Linked DNA regions of Arabidopsis thaliana. The protein of the gene in region 1 purifies or fractionates together with the protein of each later gene. This does not show direct contact. Each region holds a gene or a part of one and is shown in the gene's direction. Other genes may lie near its edges.

Region 1 (6,802 bases):
GTGATCAGAAGCCCAACGGTGATCAGGAGGAGACGCCGGCGACTATGATATGACGGCGTTTCGCTATTAACCATTATTCTCCCTATTTTTCTTGTCTAATTCTCTCTCTTTTTTTGTTTTTTTGGGGGAGGTTTGGTTTCTAATTTCTGAAACTCTAAAAAAGGGTTTATCAATCAAACGTATGAATAAGAATCTTTTACTTCTTCAGGAAATCAAGGACAAAGAAGATGAAACGAAACTGTTCCCTTTATTTAGATTTTCACCATCCATTGTTGTTATTCTGTTTTGTTTTAAGTTTTCACCTCATTTTCTTAGTTTTTAAAATCCTTAATTAATTACTCTTTTAACTCTTATTGGCTGTGTGACCTAAAACTTAAATTAATGAATCACATTTTTTTCTATAAAACCGATTATACAATAAAATTGAAATGAAATTGGTAAAAATACTTTATACTCAGGGTCGACTCGGAGATTAGAAAAAGAAACGGAGAATGGCATTAATTACCACCAATACTGACATGAGAGCTACTCTAATTTTGTAACGGAAAATTGCATTTATGATCATCTGGTACCAACTTTTCCTGCTTTTGCTCTGTCATGGCATTTTCTAAAGAAAAATGTTGTAACTAAGATTTTTTTTAGAAAATTGTTACGTCATGTCTGCATAATCTTTACAAAAGTAAGCTAAGATTAAAAGTCGTATTCTTTAGTTGAATTTTTTTCAAATTACAATAATAACGCCATATTCTCCAATGGTTTTAAGAATGTGATCCATGATGGATCATCCATCGTTTCTGTAGGGTGTTTTATTGAGCTTAACGATCTTACAAAATAGCCACAAAATGCCTGTGGTTGTCACAGAGTGGAACAACAACAAAAAAAAATTAAGTTAGAGAGTGAATTACAAATGGTACGTATATGTAGTAGAACACATATAGGAGGCGACAAACCATCTTTCAAAACCAAATCTTCGGAATTTGGCTTAAGACACACAACTCAACCAGATTTCTCAATGAACCTCAGTGTTTTCTCCTCGGTTTTGAGTTGAAACAAAGCCACTTTATGGCAAAGATGATATACCTTGGGGAGATTTCTCCATCCAAAAGGACGCTTCTCTATTGCTTCATGTCTGTTTTGAACACATAACCAAAGAGTTTCTTCATATCTAGTTATCTATTCTCTACAGACAAGCGTTTCGTCCAAGGACTTTTCTACCAACTCAGGCCTTCTCCTTGGAGATAGCCCTCTTTCGATCATTTCCTCCTCATATTCCCTAGCCATATCCAACATTCCTTTCTGAATCAACGCATCAATCACAGCATTATACGCCGCTGAATCAGGAGTATCCCCAGACTCTTTCATTGTCTTCCACACATATAATACCGGCTGAAGAAATCCCCATCTCTCAAACTTCCTCATTAGCATCACATAAGTATCCATCTTTGGCCTCACTCCACTCCTTATCATCCTACCAAACAGACTTAGGATCTCACTCGGTTTCTCCAAACGGGAAAAGAGACACATGTAAGTAATCGAATCGGGTTGACAACCTCTCTTAGGCATCTCATCAAGCATCCGATACGCGTCTCTCATCCTCCCGTCTTCACATAGAAGCTTAATGATTGTGTTATGAGTCGCAACATTAGGTTCACAACCTCTTTCCCTCATCTCCCGAAATACCCTGATACCGAATTCAACACCTTGCGACGCTCCAATGGCTCGAATCACAGTGTTATAAGCAACCACATCGAGTTTCATCCTTCTACTCTTCATTTCCTTATACAACTTCACAGCTTTCCACGGTTTCCCGCTCTTGCACATGATATCCATGTAAATGGAATACGAAAAAAGATCCTTAGTAACACCTTCAGTATCCATCTTCTTCCAATACTCCTTGCATTTACCCCACCATCCCAATTTCGACCACCCACGAAGAATCAGATTATGAATCTTAGTATTACTCACACTAAAACCATTACCAATGACATTCTTCCCAAAACAAAGCTCTTCAGCTTCAACCACATGTTTATGCTCGCAAAGCGCATCGACCAGATTATAAAATGATGTTTCATCTCTCAAATTGAAATCATCCAATTTATCATACGCATCAATAGCCTCCTGAACAAGATGAGCCGTCACATAACGCTTAAAGACTATACGAAACGTGACGTGATTCGGCACAGATTCCGTGTTTCCGATCATGCGGTTAATCAAAGCCCAAGAAATTTCAAACTCGAAATACTTACCCAGAATATCGATCACCCGATTGAATGTCTCGGTGGTATGTCTGAATCCGGATTCTCTCTCGACCCAGTTGAAAAACTCCAACGCCTTTTGCCAATCGTTGCTGTAACATGTGAGAGCTTCGCATACTGTTTTCTGATCGTAACTGGACTGATCTTCTTCTTCCTGAGATCGAAACTTCGCATCATCGACATTTGAAATAGGTTTTACTGACAGAAGCCGAACGGAGTAAGGGGAAGCAATCCGAACTCGATTGAGTCGCCGCAACAAGAGCATTCTCTTGTTTCCCCTCTCCGCTCCCTGTACACACGAAATTAGGGTTCATCATCTAACGGGCGAATTTTGACCCGAATACCCATTTTAAAATCTGACCCGAATACCATTTATGGGCCCAAAGCCCGCTGGACTTGTGTTAATATTTGGAACATTTGGGCCGATCTATCTTCTACGAATCTTTCTTAGGCCCATCATAATTGAGCCATCCAGAGGTGAAAATAAATAATCGAACGGTTAATATTGGTTTGATTATAAACACAAAAGTTCTTTCCAGGTCTCCTTGTAGTCTTTGTTGTAGTAAATGGCGGGAGTCATCCACGTCAGCAGTACCCAGATTCCGGTTGCGTTTATGTCCGCAACCAAACAGAGCTTTAGGAGAGCTTCTGTGATCAGATGTGCCGCCAACACTCCAAAGAAACGGTACACCATCGCGGTTCTTCCCGGCGATGGCGTCGGTAACGAAGTGATCCCAGTCGCTGTTGACGTTCTTTGTTTAGCTGGGTCTCTTGAAGGTTCCTTCTTTCTCATCCTGTTGCCTAATTTAATTTGATTTTCCCAACTGAAATCGTGTTTTTGGATATCAGGGATAGATTTTAGCTTCGAGGAGTTGCCTATAGGAGGTGTTGCTTTAGATCTTGTCGGAGTTCCACTGCCTAAGGAAACATTGATCAGGGCAAAGCAATCAGACGCTCTTCTTCTCGGAGCTGTTGGATGGTATGGTATTATTACCATAACTTTCGTTCATCTCAAGTTTGGATTCATCTAAAGTTTGGATTTTTGAATTGAAGGCCGAAATGGGATAACAATCCCAAGCATTTGAAGCCGATAACGGCCTTGTTGCAGCTTCGTGCGGCTCTTCAAGTATTTGATGAGCCCTCCTTCTTCTGTGAGGTGCTGCTAATAAATGGATATATATATATATATATATATATATATATATATGTTGTATGTGGTAATGTAAGGTGTCCATTTACAAAATTAAAAACTTTGGGGTCAATTCTGAAAATAAAACAATGTGCAAAAAAGGACCCATAAATGCAAAGAAGTAAAGTCTGAGTGTACTAGTAGTATCCATTTGACTTGCGGTTTCAAAATCCGAAAAAGACCAATCAATCCTTTCTCCCTGAAATGGCGGCGGCTCTGCAGACGAATATCCGGACGGTCAAGGTTCCGGCTACGTTCAGAGCTGTAAGTAAACAGTCATTGGCACCCTTTAGAGTAAGATGTGCTGTTGCTTCCCCTGGTAAAAAACGATACACCATCACTCTCCTTCCCGGAGACGGCATCGGTCCGGAGGTTGTCTCCATTGCCAAAAATGTGCTTCAGCAAGCTGGATCTTTGGAAGGTTCTCTCTCTCTCTCTTGTTCCCTTTCTTATTTAATTTAGTTGCTGTTTCATTTCAATTGGGGACTACTGTTTTCTGCTTGGAATTGAAAGATGTGAGCATTAGAAATTGGCGAGATTTTGAATGGGATTTACAATCGTGGGTTGGGCTCAAAGGCCACGGAGATTGCCTAATACATTGCGTCTGTGCTCTGTATCAGGAGTGGAATTTAACTTCCGTGAGATGCCCATTGGAGGAGCTGCTTTGGATTTGGTCGGAGTGCCCTTGCCGGAGGAGACTATCTCAGCTGCAAAAGAATCAGATGCAGTGCTTCTTGGAGCCATTGGAGGGTCTGTCTTCTCTCTTTTCCCACTAATCTTGTTGGCTCTTAATTATTGTTTTGGGAAATACAGTTTCTCATTTAGTCATTTTCTCATGTTGGTATAATAATAACTTAAGGTACAAATGGGATAACAATGAAAAACATCTGAGGCCTGAGAAGGGGTTACTTCAGATTCGTGCAGCTCTCAAAGTCTTTGCAAATCTGAGACCTGCTACAGTCCTCCCACAGGTGACCATCCTCAGAGATTTCTTGGTTGCCTGAACTTTGTTTCTTGTGTGAAACTCTAATTTTGTTGTTTTTATACAGTTAGTGGATGCTTCCACCTTAAAGAGAGAGGTAGCAGAAGGTGTTGATCTAATGGTTGTAAGGGAGCTTACAGGAGGTCAGTTTTATTACTTATTAAAAATTGATCGTAATTCTTGTCTTTCTCGTGTGACAATATCTTATAAAATGTCATGTCTCATGGTAACAGGTATTTACTTTGGAGAGCCAAGGGGCATAAAGACCAATGAAAATGGCGAGGAAGTTGGGTTTAATACTGAGGTTTATGCTGCTCACGAGGTACTCTATTGAAAATCTCAGATGCAGATTTCCGTGGACTGATTGTTAAGTACTAGGGTCAAATCTAATAAAGCATTTTGTATGTTCGTCAGATTGATAGAATTGCTCGTGTTGCCTTCGAGACTGCTCGGAAACGGCGTGGCAAGCTGTGTTCTGTTGACAAAGCTAATGTTTTGGAAGTGCGGTTGATAATTATGTTTTCTTTGACTTGTTTTCCTCTCTCTTGTTTCCTGTGGAACGAACATAACACTGAATTTTTTTATATGCAGGCCTCAATCTTATGGAGGAAACGAGTAACAGCATTAGCCTCTGAATATCCTGATGTTGAGCTGTCACATATGTATGTTGACAATGCCGCGATGCAGCTTGTTCGTGACCCAAAACAGGTACGTGTACTTTGTATTTGCCAAACTAGTCAGCTTTGATGTGCGACAGGTGTAAATCCTTGCAATTATTTGATTGTTTGATAAATGCAGTTTGACACCATCGTCACAAACAACATTTTTGGTGATATATTATCCGATGAAGCTTCAATGATCACAGGAAGCATAGGAATGCTGCCATCTGCTAGTCTCAGTGATTCGGTATGATATAAAATAATATGATCTTTTAGTATGCAAGCAGTATGATCTAGTCTGAACATAAACCCGCCATGTGTAATACAGGGACCTGGACTCTTTGAACCTATACATGGTTCTGCACCTGATATTGCTGGACAGGTTCTAACTCTATCCTTCAAACAAACACGGTTTTTGTTCCCTGATATCAAAACTAGTTTAATGCCAAAATCAAAGAGCACAACTTGTTGATTCTTTGAATTTTCAGGATAAGGCAAACCCATTGGCAACCATTCTAAGCGCTGCAATGCTTCTGAAATACGGACTTGGAGAAGAAAAGGCAGCCAAGAGAATTGAAGACGCAGTGTTGGTTGCTCTGAACAACGGATTCAGAACTGGAGACATATACTCCGCGGGAACAGTATGTTTCTTGAACCACTCTTATAACATGTTTCCTTTTCCTTAAAAACGTCCCGAGTTAGTGTTTGAGAAACGTTTAAACAAGCAGGCAACAACAAACAGTAGTAATATTTTTTTGTCTTTTTGTATGGGGTATGATCAGAAACTGGTGGGCTGCAAGGAGATGGGAGAGGAGGTTCTGAAGTCAGTGGACTCCCAAGTTCCAGCTTCTGTTTAATATTTGTAGAAACTTTGAAGAGTTCATTTCCAACAACAAATGTTGTACCTTGTACTCAAAGAGTCTCGGTTTTATTAGCGATTTTTATAATGTGAGATTATTAGAGGGACTTATTTGATCGAACTGAAACGTTGATGTTTTTTTCTGAGAAATAAATATCCTTGTGGAGATAATGACGTGTCAGAGTATCACTCAAAAAGCCAAAAATTAGAGAGACAAAAAAGATTCAATCTCCCCCGTAGTCCTTATCCGGCGCCGAGTGTGGTCAAACGTCGCAAGAGTTTTCGCTCTTTCCGGTGAGATCTTTTTCCTCTGATTTCTGTTTCATGGCAAGCCTACTTTTAGAGCTGAGTTTAATCGATGAATCAAGGATGTGAATTTTTGTTATTTCTTGATTATTCATTATTATGTTCAAGAAATCTAAATCTCTGCTTGGGAACTAATTCACAATTTAGACATCTCTGATGAGTTTTTCCTCTGTTTTTTATTTCTATCTTATCAATTTTGTTTCTGGAAATTTTCATGGCTTTTTGAATGTTCATTGGGATTGCGTATCTTGGTGGTGGTAAGTAAAAAGTCAAACGCCTTCGTTTTTCTGCATAATCTCTGAGTTCCATCAAAGCTCTGTTTTGTGTTTTCAAGGTGGACTTTTCACTTGACATGTTAGGCTTTGATCCTTTTTTGTTCACACAGATAGACAAATGGATGAATTGCCAGACCATTTGGTTTGGGACATTCTCAGTAAGCTTCATACTACCGATGACAGAAACTCGCTTTCACTCTCATGCAAACGTTTCTTCTCGCTGGACAACGAGCAAAGATACTCTCTGCGGATTGGTTGCGGTTTAGTTCCTGCATCC
Region 2 (6,802 bases), about 12 Mb from region 1:
TGTGTCTTTAGACACAATTTGTTTAACAAGACTTTTAAATAATTTTTTTTAGGAGTTTTTAATTATCAAAAAGGTCTTACTCAAATTCAACAACACATATATCGAAATGTGTTTTTTTAAAAAAATTAAAAAGAAGAAAAAATACTATAAAGAAGGTTTAAGTATTTGTGGAATTTTATTTAGGTGTTATCAATTGTCACATTCAAGTAGACAAATAAAATTACCAAGAAAAGAATTGCAAAAACATTGAAAATGTGTAGTATACTCCATTAAAGATTTGTGTAATGAAGTAATAGATAAAAATTAAATTGATGTTTAATATGTTGCCAAAAAAATGATTAAAAATAAATATCCAACGAATAGAGTTTGGGGATGGAGGAAGACCAAATCGGGTTCGGGTCGAGATTGTTTGGTTCGTTGTGTTTCCCCTTTCTCTCTCTCTCCCTCTTTCCCCCTTACGTAACCCTAAGCGGACGGAGCAATGCTCTGCTAGATCTATCTTTCTTTCAATTCTTCACCAGAGATCGTCGAGACTCACCATTGAAATCGAAGAAACAGCACCAATTTCCACTTCACCACCGAAAGAGAGAGACAGAGAGGATAATAAAAGGCCGCCATGGATTTAGATCAATGGATTTCCAAGGTTAAAGACGGCCAACATCTCTCTGAGGACGAGCTTCAACTTCTCTGCGAATACGTACGCCTTCTTCTTCTTTCTTCTTTCTTCTCTTGCTTGCTTTCTCTTCCCCGAATATTCATGCATCTACAAAAACCCAATTCTTCGCTTACTCTTTTGAGACTTTAGAGCTTGCTTTGTGGCACTTTACTTTGAATCTGGTCTCTCTCCCTTACTGTTTCCTTTGCCATTTTGGTCTACGGATTTTAGGGTTTTTCTCTCATTTTTCCAATAGAGGATTTATTGACTTTGCTATTTCAATTCTAAATTCTAAGGAATTAGGGATAAGTTTAGCTCTTCTTTAGCCAATTTATGGATGCACCAAGTCCACGCTTGCAAACTGTTATTTGAGGATTTATTATAGTAATTTTAGTGTTGAAACTTGTAGTAGCAGCCGTCTTCTTCTTTTTTCATGACAATGATTTGCTAAGATACTCTGGTAATTCACAAGATATTTTGACTATTATATAGGTGAAAGAAATTCTTATTGAGGAATCAAATGTACAACCTGTCAACAGTCCTGTCACCGTCTGTGGTGATATCCATGGCCAGTTTCATGATCTTATGAAACTTTTCCAGACCGGAGGTCATGTTCCCGAGACCAATTACATATTTATGGTATAGACTCTGACTTTGGGCGTAGGCTCGTATGACATATCAATATGTAACACATAGTTTAATTATCTGTGGGGGATTTTCTCAGGGGGATTTCGTTGATAGAGGTTACAACAGTCTTGAAGTTTTCACCATTCTTTTGCTTCTTAAAGCAAGGTAAGATTTTCCGTAGAAATTGTGCGTTATATATGTCATGGATCGTCATCCTTCCGTTTCACACTGTATATCATAGTTCTCTTGAGAATGCTCTTTAAGCTGTAAACGCATTGCTCTACTGGAAAATCGATTTAACTTGTATTCCAGGAAATTTATATTCTAACTTACTTTGCTGTGAGCTTAAAATCACTCGTTTCCTTGTATTTCAATATGTAGACATCCAGCCAATATCACTCTTTTGCGTGGAAATCATGAAAGTAGACAGCTAACTCAGGTATGCATTATTCTAATCCATTTATATCTATTGTTGCTGACTTGCTGTGCTCTTCACGCAGTTACTGGTTGAGAAGTAATTTTCGCTCAATTGTTATAACTAGTTTTGAAAGTTTATTTTGTACATGTGGCAATGCCATGCTAGATATAGGCATAGATGTTAACTAAGATGCATTTTATGTGAACCCTTTGCAACCATAAGTTTTCTTCTCGGAAGCTCTTGATTTATCTCTATCCTACACCATATCCTATATCTTTTAACATCCACTGTCAAGGACGAAGATTGTAGTGATATTTTGTGCCCTGCAGGTTCATTTTTATAGTTTTCTTAAATTGTCGTACCAATTTTATATTTGCTAGGTGTATGGTTTCTATGACGAATGCCAAAGGAAGTATGGTAATGCTAATGCTTGGAGATATTGCACGGATGTTTTTGACTATCTTACACTTTCAGCTATTATAGATGGCACTGTAAGTATTTCTCAGCTTCTTTGGCATTGTGTTATGATGTGTTCTTGTATAATTTTATGAATGCATAAGTTAGCTGTATACCATATTAAAACGTATTGCATCCTCAATGTAGGTTCTATGTGTTCATGGTGGCCTTTCACCTGATGTACGGACAATTGACCAGGTTAAAATGTGCTATTTTAAATTACTTTTGGTTTTCACCATGCAAGTGTTATTTATGATTAGATTAAATCTCATTTACTCATTTAGATGTTATTTTGTTCTCTAGATAAGATTGATTGAGCGGAATTGCGAAATACCGCATGAAGGACCCTTCTGTGATCTTATGTGGAGTGATCCTGAAGATATTGAAACATGGGCTGTCAGTCCACGTGGAGCTGGTTGGCTTTTCGGGTCCAGGGTTACCACTGAGGTATTTATATTTTTTTCTGGGGTTGAAATTTGAATAAGGTGTGAAAAGAAATAAATGTATTTCAGTTCCCTGATCTGTGGTTTTGCTTCTTGTGCAGTTTAACCATATTAACAATCTTGATCTAGTATGTCGCGCTCACCAGCTTGTACAAGAAGGTCTCAAGTACATGTTCCAAGATAAAGGTCTTGTAACTGTAAGTGCCTTGCTTCCTTATGATCATTTTGGATAGTTGGAAGTATAATCTGCTTGGTGATGTTTCTTCTCTTTATTTTTTTTGTAAAGGTGTGGTCTGCGCCTAATTACTGCTACCGTTGTGGGAATGTGGCTTCTATATTGAGTTTCAATGACAACATGGTGAGGCATTTGTTTTCTCTTTTGTTACTGATCTGCCACAATATCTTGTTTCATGTTCTTCTTACTTTTATGCACTCGTCTTCGGATTCTACTTTTCCTTTTTGATTAAATAAGTTACTGCCTTTGATACTTGTCTCTCGACCCAAACATATACACATGAGTGACTCTTGTGAGATAGAGTTATGATGTTTAAGCCATTTATTTAGTAACAATTCACAGTTCGCGTGGAATCAGTCTGTCCATATTGATTGTGCTCTGTGTGTTACTTTTCATATATAGACCTGTTTCTGGGAAGTGTTTAGGATCTGGTCCTCACTGACAGTAATGATTTGTTAAAATATGCTTAATTACCAGGAAAGGGAAGTGAAGTTCTTCACGGAGACAGAAGAGAACAATCAAATGAGAGGGCCAAGGACAGGTGTTCCTTATTTCCTGTGATTCATGATGATGATCCTACATCATTATTAGTCTCGTATTGCTCTTATCAAGTTAGCCATTATCATGATTGCCATTGGCTTATGTTCTTTCAAGGTATATCTTCTGATGTTGTTTACACTTCCATTGTTTTTTTTTTCCTTTTTCCATTTTGGAAACATTTTCTTGTGAAAGTGAATGTCACTTTGGTAATTTTAGTGGTTTTGATGCACTTTAACCTGAACCTCTTCTGGATGTTATTATTATACGTGCTTTCTTTCTTGTTTTGTTTCATCTTTGTTCTGTAAGCAAGACCAATTTTTATCATCTCAGCTTATTTGCAGTTTAGCACGGTTTGATTAGGTTCTGGGTTAATCTCAGGCTTATAAAATTCATCAAGCTCAAAAATAGTCCACTACAAGAACATAGAAGACCATTAATCAACATTCAACAGTAATTTGTTTCTAATCTAATTATTTGGTTTTGTTCAATAATCCTAGCAAAAATTCACGAAAGAGTTAATAATTTTGTAACCGGAATCATAGATAGGCCGGTTTATCCAAACCGGATATGACCTGTCCTCTATTAACAAACTGGTCGCGAGTCTCTAGGCAACTAAAACGGACACGTAATATGATAATAAGGCGTGGACTCGTATCTCTCGGCACTCACTTTCTCGCGACTCGTAGTCGTCTTCTCCACTTCGATACTCCTCTCTCTTGCCTCGTTCCTCTTGTTCCTCGCCGCCGCTCTATTCTACGGCTGTCTTCTTCTTTTTCCTCTTCCTCTGAAACCGGAGCTGCGTCAGTGCGGTTGACATCACCGAGAGACATGGCGGAATCGAGATCCCCTCCTGTAGCGAAGAAGGTGGAGCATGTGATGGAGATGTTCGGTGACGTTAGGGTTGACAATTACTACTGGCTCCGTGACGATTCTCGCACCAATCCCGACATGCTTTCTTATCTTCGTGAAGAAAATCACTACACTGATTTCGTCATGTCTGGTGAGTCTTTTCAAGTTGCCTCTGTCAGTGACGTTGTGATACTTAGGGGATTAGGGTTTTTAGCTTTCCTTGTTTTCAATTTGGAGTATTAGTGACTTGTTGATTATGCAAGCTTGTGATAAATTAGACTGGAAAATAAAAATTCAGGGACCAAGCAATTTGAGAATCAGCTGTTTGCTGAAATAAGAGGGAGGATCAAAGAAGATGATATATCTGCACCTCTACGCAAGGGTCCTTACTATTATTATGAGAAAAATCTTCAAGGAAAGGAATATATTCAGCACTGTAGACGTTTGATCACTGACAACAAAGCTGAGCCTTCTGTCTATGATACTATGCCAACTGGTCCAGATGCTCCTCCTGAGCATGTGATATTGGATGAGAATACCAAGGCTCAAGAGCATGACTACTACAGAATTGGGGCCTTCAAGGTTTGACTAGAAAATAGACTTTAAAAATCGTCCTAAGAGATATCCTTTTCAAACTTGCTCTTTACTAACTTGATGTTTCATTTTCTTGATTCTTTTTATAGGCGAGTCCCGATCATAAATTGGTGGCATATGCAGAGGACACAAAAGGTGATGAGATATATACAGTGAATGTCATCGACTCTGAAGCCCTAAAACCAGTGGGGCAACAGCTTAAAGGACTTACTTCTTATCTTGAATGGGCTGGTAATGATGCTTTGCTCTACATAACAATGGACGAAATCCTGCGACCTGATAAGGTTTACCTTCAATCTTTTCCCACCCTACTGTCTTAGTGTATAGTACTGGAGGAAGGGATTAACTTTTGCATGAATATAGATTTTACCGTTTCGATCAATTGTTGACATTATACACCTCATAGATGCCATATTTTCTTACCAAATTTGACTGTACTTATTATGAGATACGTCAATATTTTTGGCTTTCATGTTCTGATCTTCATATATTCTTTGTAACAGGTTTGGTTACATAAATTAGGGACAGAGCAGAGCAGTGATGTATGCCTTTACCATGAGAAGGATGATATGTTTTCTCTTGAACTCCACGCTTCTGAGAGCCATAAGTATTTATTTGTTGCATCTGAAAGCAAAACTACAAGATTTGTCTTCTCGCTTGATGTGTCCAAGACTCAGGATGGACTCAGGGTGTTGACACCTCGTGTAGATGGAATTGATTCATCTGTCAGTCATCGTGGGAACCACTTTTTCATCCAGAGAAGGAGCACTGAATTTTACAACTCAGAACTGATCGCCTGTCCAGTTGATGACACATCAAAGACAACTGTTCTGCTTCCACATAGAGAAAGGTAAACTTTTTTTGTTAGAATCTGGTTGCCATTGTGGCCTATCCAAAATCCAAATGAAGTATAACTAATTTTAATATCATGTATATCCTTCGGCTTAGACGACATGCATGCTGGGTTGTTTTCCAGTTGCTAGATTAGTTTTATAATGCATTTAACATCAAGGTCACCTTGTATGCCTAGCTAAACAATTATATTTGCATGGACAGTGTAAAGATTCAGGAAATTCAGCTTTTCCGAGATCATCTTGCAGTCTTCGAGCGTGAAAACGGACTGCAGAAGATCACAGTTCATAGGCTTCCTGCTGAGGGACAGCCACTGGAAGGTCTCCAAGGTGGTCGTAATGTGAGCTTTGTTGACCCGGTCTATTCAGTTGACTCAACCGAGTCCGAATTTTCGTCCAGGGTTTTAAGGTTTAAATACTGCTCAATGAAAACACCTCCTTCTGTGTATGACTATGACATGGACAGTGGCACTTCCGTTGTCAAGAAGATTGACACAGTAAGTAAAACTACTTATTCATTCGTTCTCCCTCACTTTGGATCAATTTCCTATGTCCTCTGCATATTTAGTTGCCGATTTTATTTGCAATGCATAAGCGTATTTCATTGAATGGTAATAAGTCGTATTGACAATTTTGAAATACAACACATGAAAATTATGAAAAATTTTAGTTTTTTTTTACTGGTACTGTGTTTTTACGCATTTTTCCCTAACATGCCTTCTCTTTTGAAATGGTCATCGCTTGATCTTTATGATAGCCTGCTGTATTTCATTCAGGTATTGGGAGGTTTTGATGCATCAAATTATGTTACAGAAAGAAAGTGGGTCGCTGCATCAGACGGAACTCAAATTCCAATGTCTATTGTGTATAACAAAAAACTTGCAAAGCTTGATGGATCTGATCCATTACTCCTTTATGGATATGGTTCATATGAGGTATTTTTAGTTGAAGCTTTTATGGTTCCCAGATTCTCGGTCCTTTTACTTCTTTCCAACGGAACTATAAAATACTCTTTATCTTTATTACAGATTTCTGTGGATCCTTATTTCAAGGCATCAAGGTTGTCCCTGTTAGATCGTGGGTTTACCTTTGTAATTGCTCATGTTCGTGGGGGCGGTGAGATGGGGAGACAGT
Region 3 (6,802 bases), on another chromosome or scaffold:
GTCGTTAAATAGGTTAACAGAATTATTTTACGGCGTTAATATCTCGTGTATCTGCTCTGTTAGAACAAAACGACATCGTTTATTGCAGAGACAAAGGAACGTCGTTTTGTTTGTTGAAACAAATTTAAACCCTAAATCCCCAAATCGATTTATTATCTGCGATTTTGAGGTCAAGGTGGGTCTGTGATTTTGAGATAATGAAATCGATTTGGGGATTTAGGGTTTAAATTTGTTTCAAGACAAAACGACGATGTTTTGTCTCTGCAATAAACGACGTTGTTTTGTTCTAACAGAGCAAATAAACGAGACATTAACGCCGTAAATTTTTTCTGTTAACCTATTTAACGACATGACTCAAATGGCAAGTCAACAAACACTTTGTCATTTATTTCGAAAGTCAACAAAAACTTTACGATTTATTTATCTTCCGTGAAGTTCAAAATTAAATCGTCCCAAATTTGAAAGACATTTTTCCCGAATATCATTTATGAATTATGATACAATGTTACTAAAAAAATCATTTTTATGTCTCATGCATGTAGTAACGAACACACACTAATATAGTAACAAATGATCAGACGTTACTCTTAAAAACTAGAGTGGTCATCATGTTCAAACTTTAAGGTACATTAGACCATCTAATTAGAACCATGCGTAATTAGTATTGTTAAGTAACCAAAAGAAATAACGACGATCAATAGTAAGTTTTTTTTTTTTGTGTGTGTAACCAATAGGTAGTACTTAAGTTAAATGTATATTATTTCATTCCTATTTCTTTAAATTGGTATCGATTCATTCTAAAATGTTGCATGGATTTTTTTTAACATCTTTAGATAAAGTTTTATGTTCCGTTTTTTTTTTCAGGTGACAAATTTCAAATGTGGGGGTTTTGTCCTAGGACTAGGCATGAGCCACAACATGTTCGATGGAGTCGCCGCTGCGGAGTTCCTCAACTCGTGGTGCGAGATGGCCAAGGGTCTTCCTTTATCCGTCCCACCATTCTTGGACCGTACGATTCTCCGGTCACGAAACCCTCCCAAAATCGAGTTCCCACACAATGAATTCGACGAAATTGAAGATATTTCCGACACCGGAAAAATCTACGATGAAGAAAAACTCATCTACAAATCATTTCTTTTCGAACCCGAAAAGCTTGAGAAGCTCAAGATCATGGCGATTGAAGAAAATAACAATAATAAGGTATCAACATTTCAAGCCTTAACCGGGTTTCTTTGGAAATCAAGATGCGAAGCTCTACGGTTTAAACCGGACCAACGGGTTAAGCTTCTGTTTGCGGCGGATGGACGGTCAAGATTCATCCCACGTCTCCCGCAAGGATATTGCGGGAACGGGATTGTGTTAACCGGTTTGGTGACATCATCGGGAGAATTAGTTGGGAACCCTCTTTCTCACTCGGTGGGTTTGGTCAAGAGACTGGTGGAGCTGGTTACGGACGGCTTCATGCGGTCGGCTATGGACTACTTCGAGGTGAACCGGACACGGCCGAGTATGAACGCGACACTTTTGATTACATCCTGGTCAAAATTGACATTGCATAAACTGGATTTCGGTTGGGGAGAACCGGTTTTCTCTGGACCGGTTGGTTTACCAGGGAGGGAAGTGATCTTGTTCTTACCAAGTGGTGATGATATGAAGAGTATCAATGTGTTTCTTGGCCTTCCTACTTCAGCTATGGAAGTGTTTGAAGAGCTTATGAAGATCTGAAAAAGAACATACATTTTCATAATCAAATTATGATATATTCTACCAAATTATAAGCAAAGGAAAATTATAATCTAGTCATTATTTATACATGTTATATTTGAATTCACGTTTGTATCCATTACAAAAATTTATGTAATTCGCAGAAAATATATATATGTCAAATTAAGTTATCGGACCGGATCGGGTCAAAGAAACCGGATTGGTTAACAAAGTCAAACAAACAAATATTGACTTGAGTTTCAGATTCCAGTAAAATCAAACCGGATCGGGTCTGAATTTAAACCACCGGGTCGGCTCCATCTAAAATCTGAAGATCATCTCCGCCTTATCTTGTTGACTATCTCTGTACTACTTACGAGCGCAAGTGAGAGAGTAACAGAGAAACGTAGAGATATAGCAAAATGGCTGCGACGCTTACTGGATCAGGGATTGCTCTAGGGTTTTCGTGCTCCGCAAAGTTCTCTAAGAGAGCTTCTTCGTCGTCCAACCGTCGCTGCATCAAGATGTCGGTTTCGGTAGAGGAGAAGACGAAGAAATTCACTCTTCAGAAATCTGAGGAAGCTTTCAATGCTGCGAAGGTTAGGCTTTTCAATTTCCATGAATTCAGTCAATAAGAAATGTTTCTTCAGATTGATTACGCCTTGATGTTCTGTTGCTTTGGTTTTGTGGGATTTGATCATATTTTTGGTTAAAGTGATTATCTTTGTTACCCTTCAAGGAACATTGCTAACAAAATAAGATTACTTGAGATAGAATCATAATCTGAGATAAAGTTTTTGTTTTTATTGGTTTCATTCTGTTCTGATTATTGAAATTGGTTTGGTTCCTTTGTGTAGAACTTAATGCCTGGAGGTGTGAACTCACCTGTACGTGCTTTCAAATCTGTTGGTGGACAACCAGTGGTGATGGATTCTGCAAAGGGCTCACGAATAAGAGACATTGATGGAAATGAATACATTGACTATGTTGGATCTTGGGGACCTGCTATAATTGGTCATGCTGATGATGAGGTTTGTTTCTTTCCAGTTTTGATGATTTTTAGATAGCTGAAAGTTTAGTAGTTGATACGGTGATGTGTCTAGTGCAGGTTCTTGCTGCTTTGGCTGAGACAATGAAGAAAGGAACAAGCTTTGGTGCTCCTTGTCTCTTAGAGAATGTTCTTGCTGAGATGGTGATTTCAGCTGTTCCAAGTATTGAAATGGTTCGGTTTGTTAACTCCGGTACAGAGGCATGTATGGGTGTGCTACGTCTTGCTCGTGCCTTCACAGGGAAACAAAAGTTCATCAAGTTTGAAGGTTGTTATCATGGTCATGCAAACTCTTTCCTTGTCAAAGCAGGTAGTGGTGTAGCTACTTTGGGTCTACCTGACTCGCCTGGGGTCCCCAAAGCAGCTACTTCAGATACTTTAACAGCTCCATACAATGATATTGCTGCTGTTGAGAAGCTTTTTGAGGCAAACAAAGGAGAGATTGCTGCCATCATTCTTGAACCTGTTGTTGGTAACTCGGGTTTTATTACACCTAAACCAGAGTTCATTGAGGGAATACGCCGGATCACTAAAGACAATGGTGCTCTTCTTATTTTCGATGAAGTCATGACTGGTTTTCGTTTAGCCTATGGTGGAGCTCAAGAATACTTTGGAATCACACCTGACTTAACAACTCTTGGGAAAATCATCGGTGGTGGTCTTCCTGTGGGAGCATACGGTGGAAGAAGAGACATCATGGAAATGGTAAAGCTAGAGTTGTTAACAATTGAACCGAATAATCTTTTGAATTTGCTGCAAGAGATTGAGAAAGTCCTGATCCTTTATCACTCATGTCTTTTTGCAGGTTGCACCCGCAGGACCGATGTATCAAGCTGGTACGCTAAGTGGTAATCCGTTGGCTATGACAGCGGGTATACACACGCTGAAGCGGTTAAGTCAGCCAGGGACATATGAATACTTAGACAAGATCACAAAAGAGCTTACAAATGGGATACTAGAAGCCGGGAAGAAAACCGGGCATGCGATGTGTGGCGGTTACATAAGCGGGATGTTCGGTTTCTTCTTCACGGAAGGACCCGTCTATGATTTCTCGGATGCAAAGAAGAGTGATACAGAGAAGTTTGGAAAGTTTTTCAGAGGAATGTTGGAAGAAGGTGTCTACTTGGCACCTTCTCAATTCGAGGCCGGTTTTACTAGCTTGGCTCACACTTCAGAAGACATCCAATTCACTATCGCAGCGGCCGAGAAGGTTCTAAGTCGGCTCTAAAATGTCTCTGGAAGCTTCCAGGGAACCATGAATGTATTTGAAATTTTTTGATGTAGAGAAAATTAGATTCAATTGAGAGCAAGCAAGCAATCTCACAAAATTTAACTGTGGTAAGAAAAGTCAAAATGTCTATGAAGATTTGTTGACTTTTTAAAAAGAGTTCTTGCTTTGCGTTAACGTCTTACAAATCACACAGAATGATTTCTATTGCAACACACTTTTTCATCATGTAGCCAACATCATAATCTGAGTCATAAGACGATATATTTCTCCACGGAACAAGGGAAGTGCATCTGCAAAGTTAAGCTTCCATATTCAGTTTTCTTCACATTTCTATAGATTCCCTTGCCCATTTATGTCTTTGTCCGACCTAAGACGACCTAGAAAGTGGATACACAGTCCATCCAACGAGAAAGTTTCACTAGTCTCCTACTTCCCAAGGTTACGTCTTTCATATGTTTAGTTGCATTTTTCTTTCTTCACATCTTTGCTTCTAGCTGTAGTTTGTTCAATCCAACCGACCGAGCTGCTTTTCATTGTCTTAAAGAATGAACAAGAAACATCCTGATGATTATGTGAAGATGTTTTGGAGACCAAGCTGATTCGAACTTTCTTTCTAATTCGGACACAATTGAGTTGGAATTATTTGAAATTGGAAAGGCCCAGTAAGGAAGTGATCCAATATTACTTGCCTTAGACAAAGACTTGGCCCACTCAGTCCATACAAAATATTCCTTTTTATTTATTTAAAAATATGAATACTCCTTGACTTAGGCCAATCAAAATTTATAATTGATATTTTTTGTTAAAAGAATTTATGATTGATAATGCCAATATTTTCTGTATTGAAACATTTTTTAAATTTTTCTATTTTTTGTTTTTTTTGGTTATATCCGAAGAGTAATGTGACCACGTTAATTCTCAAGTCAAATATTATCTTTCATAATTAGAAAACTTTATCGTATATTATTAATATTATGTCCTTAAAATAAACAGAAAACATTAAGTATGACCAAAAAAAAAAAAGACAGAATCATGATGGATATTTTAAATAGTTTTCGTTAAATCAGAAAATAGGAAATATACATTATCCCCAATAGATAATTACACAAATTTTTATAAAGAAGTAGAGAAACTAACTCCGGAAAATTAATCCTCTACTTCGCACACTTGATAAACTCAGAAAAATACGACAGCGTAACGGGGTACACGTGGTGGTTGGTATATCAAGTTGGGGTAAAGTCAACATTAACGTATTTTTATTCATGTAGCTGCTGCGGAAGAGGACTGCTTGCCATGTTTAGGGGTTTGTCCATCTTCAATCTCAGCCCTTCGATCATTTCCGCAGGTACACTTGTTCGCTTGACGAACCACTGAGATTGGCTCAGGGGATGAAACTGTGCCTAGCTTCAACATATCGAGGCTCACCTCCGGTAACTTAGCAGCTTCGACTTCTTTCTCTCCTAGATGCGGCGACGTTTTACAGTATTTGTAGACAACGTAGAGTATCATTTGGAGTGCACCGAGAGCAAAACCAAGCACATTCGGGAACTGCACGAAAAACATTTGTTGTAGTGGCAATAACATAATAACATTTTAATATACTCACTTTTCCACTTTCTAGCTTGTGAATAAAGTACGTTAAAAACGAAATAAAGTAAAGTTTATGGCAAACTTGTGCGGCATCGATAGAAGTTACGTACAAAATATAATTTCTATGTAACAATAAAGATAAAAAGAACTTAATATATTATGAACTTCTTTTGCAAAAGCTAAATCTTTTAATGTTTCTGTGGAACATAAAGCGAGAGTTTCTTTATAATTTGGTTTATTTTTATCGTAAAGGACGATACCAAACAAAAGGTTTTGCTTTCATTAATCGTTTTTTTTATCTTTTGCCAATCCATATCTCTTTTTATCTATGAATCTATGATTAGAACCTCAAAGTCTCAGGTTCATTAGAAACAAAAGCACCCACTTCATGTAATATACTGTTATGATAATGATAGACATATGATTATGATGCTTGACGACATGATAATCATGTTAAAACATATATATTCATTATAGCAAATAGAGAGAGATGAAATGGCTTACAGCAACATAGATGTCCTTGAGAGCAAGACCATAAAGGAGCCATATGACAGCACTGATGGTAAGGGTTAAGGATAAGCTAAAGGGCATGTACTCCACACTTCTTGTCTTTATTACCGTCCTCTATATATAATTAAACAAAAATATATATGTTAATTATTATTGTTACCAAATCATAATTTAATCACTTGGTAAATTAGCTATTTCGTAGTACTTACGATTATGCTTAGAGGAGCAGCGAAAACACAAACAGAGAATCCGACACAGATTCCTCCGATAATCTTAGCACGTGTGGCTCCTTTTACCAAGAATTGGCAAAGAAGGAGAATCGCACAGAATCCTCCAAAGTTCATAAGAAGTAGCATCTTCACTGTCAACATCTGCATCCATTAAGAAATGTTTTATTTAGCAACTTCATTTGAATAATGTTATGAACAACGTAACATGCATGTCATATGAACTGAGGATTAATTATTAGTTACCCGAGCTGGCTTGGGAGCGTAGGCAAGGAACATAGAGATGTAGATGGTTTCGATGAAGCAACCAAAGGCGTTAATGGTTACGAGGAGGAAGACATCTTTCTTCTGTGTCGCATAGTAAAGCCAAAGCGTCGCACTGAAGAGCGCCACAACATAAGGAATAGACTGAAACCCTTCTGTTGTCTTCTTCTTCCAAATCCTATAGAACGTTGGCCTGCGTCCAAAAAAAAACTGAATATTAGTTACTCA

What was found.
Region 2: the proteins of IMD2 (region 1) and AT1G50380 fractionate together in Arabidopsis thaliana (co-fractionation; one large-scale study listed by BioGRID). This does not show direct contact.
Region 3: the proteins of IMD2 (region 1) and GSA2 fractionate together in Arabidopsis thaliana (co-fractionation; one large-scale study listed by BioGRID). This does not show direct contact.

Annotation. Positions count from the first base shown.
Region 1 is NC_003070.9:30,284,185-30,290,986, forward strand, and holds IMD2 (isopropylmalate dehydrogenase 2), read left to right. Parts: upstream 1-3,578; 5' UTR 3,579-3,648; coding exon 3,649-3,865; intron 3,866-4,064; coding exon 4,065-4,194; intron 4,195-4,303; coding exon 4,304-4,415; intron 4,416-4,493; coding exon 4,494-4,569; intron 4,570-4,659; coding exon 4,660-4,748; intron 4,749-4,840; coding exon 4,841-4,927; intron 4,928-5,017; coding exon 5,018-5,134; intron 5,135-5,224; coding exon 5,225-5,332; intron 5,333-5,413; coding exon 5,414-5,467; intron 5,468-5,573; coding exon 5,574-5,726; intron 5,727-5,867; coding exon 5,868-5,942; 3' UTR 5,943-6,115; downstream 6,116-6,802. Other genes in the region: AT1G80540 (envelope glycoprotein B), read right to left, coding at 1-74; AT1G80550 (Pentatricopeptide repeat (PPR) superfamily protein), read right to left, coding at 1,174-2,520; AT1G80555 (Isocitrate/isopropylmalate dehydrogenase family protein), read left to right, coding at 2,822-3,032, 3,105-3,234, 3,309-3,555; AT1G80570 (RNI-like superfamily protein), read left to right, coding at 6,477-6,507, 6,636-6,802. UniProt on the Arabidopsis thaliana protein: Involved in leucine biosynthesis; catalyzes the oxidative decarboxylation step in leucine biosynthesis (primary metabolism). Catalyzes the oxidation of 3-carboxy-2-hydroxy-4-methylpentanoate (3-isopropylmalate, 3-IPM) to 3-carboxy-4-methyl-2-oxopentanoate.
Region 2 is NC_003070.9:18,658,278-18,665,079, forward strand, and holds the start of AT1G50380 (Prolyl oligopeptidase family protein), read left to right. Parts: upstream 1-3,988; 5' UTR 3,989-4,004; coding exon 4,005-4,374; intron 4,375-4,521; coding exon 4,522-4,805; intron 4,806-4,906; coding exon 4,907-5,101; intron 5,102-5,320; coding exon 5,321-5,667; intron 5,668-5,873; coding exon 5,874-6,165; intron 6,166-6,444; coding exon 6,445-6,603; intron 6,604-6,696; coding exon 6,697-6,802. Other genes in the region: FYPP1 (Calcineurin-like metallo-phosphoesterase superfamily protein), read left to right, coding at 617-697, 1,148-1,294, 1,380-1,447, 1,664-1,721, 2,081-2,191, 2,304-2,354, 2,460-2,603, 2,701-2,796 and 2 more.
Region 3 is NC_003074.8:18,047,571-18,054,372, forward strand, and holds GSA2 (glutamate-1-semialdehyde 2,1-aminomutase 2), read left to right. Parts: upstream 1-2,000; 5' UTR 2,001-2,126; coding exon 2,127-2,303; intron 2,304-2,561; coding exon 2,562-2,735; intron 2,736-2,812; coding exon 2,813-3,457; intron 3,458-3,557; coding exon 3,558-3,980; 3' UTR 3,981-4,208; downstream 4,209-6,802. Other genes in the region: DCF (HXXXD-type acyl-transferase family protein), read left to right, coding at 865-1,725; SWEET11 (Nodulin MtN3 family protein), read right to left, coding at 5,244-5,531, 6,078-6,197, 6,293-6,454, 6,557-6,767. UniProt on the Arabidopsis thaliana protein: Transaminase converting glutamate 1-semialdehyde (GSA) to 5-aminolevulinate (ALA). Involved in the biosynthesis of tetrapyrroles.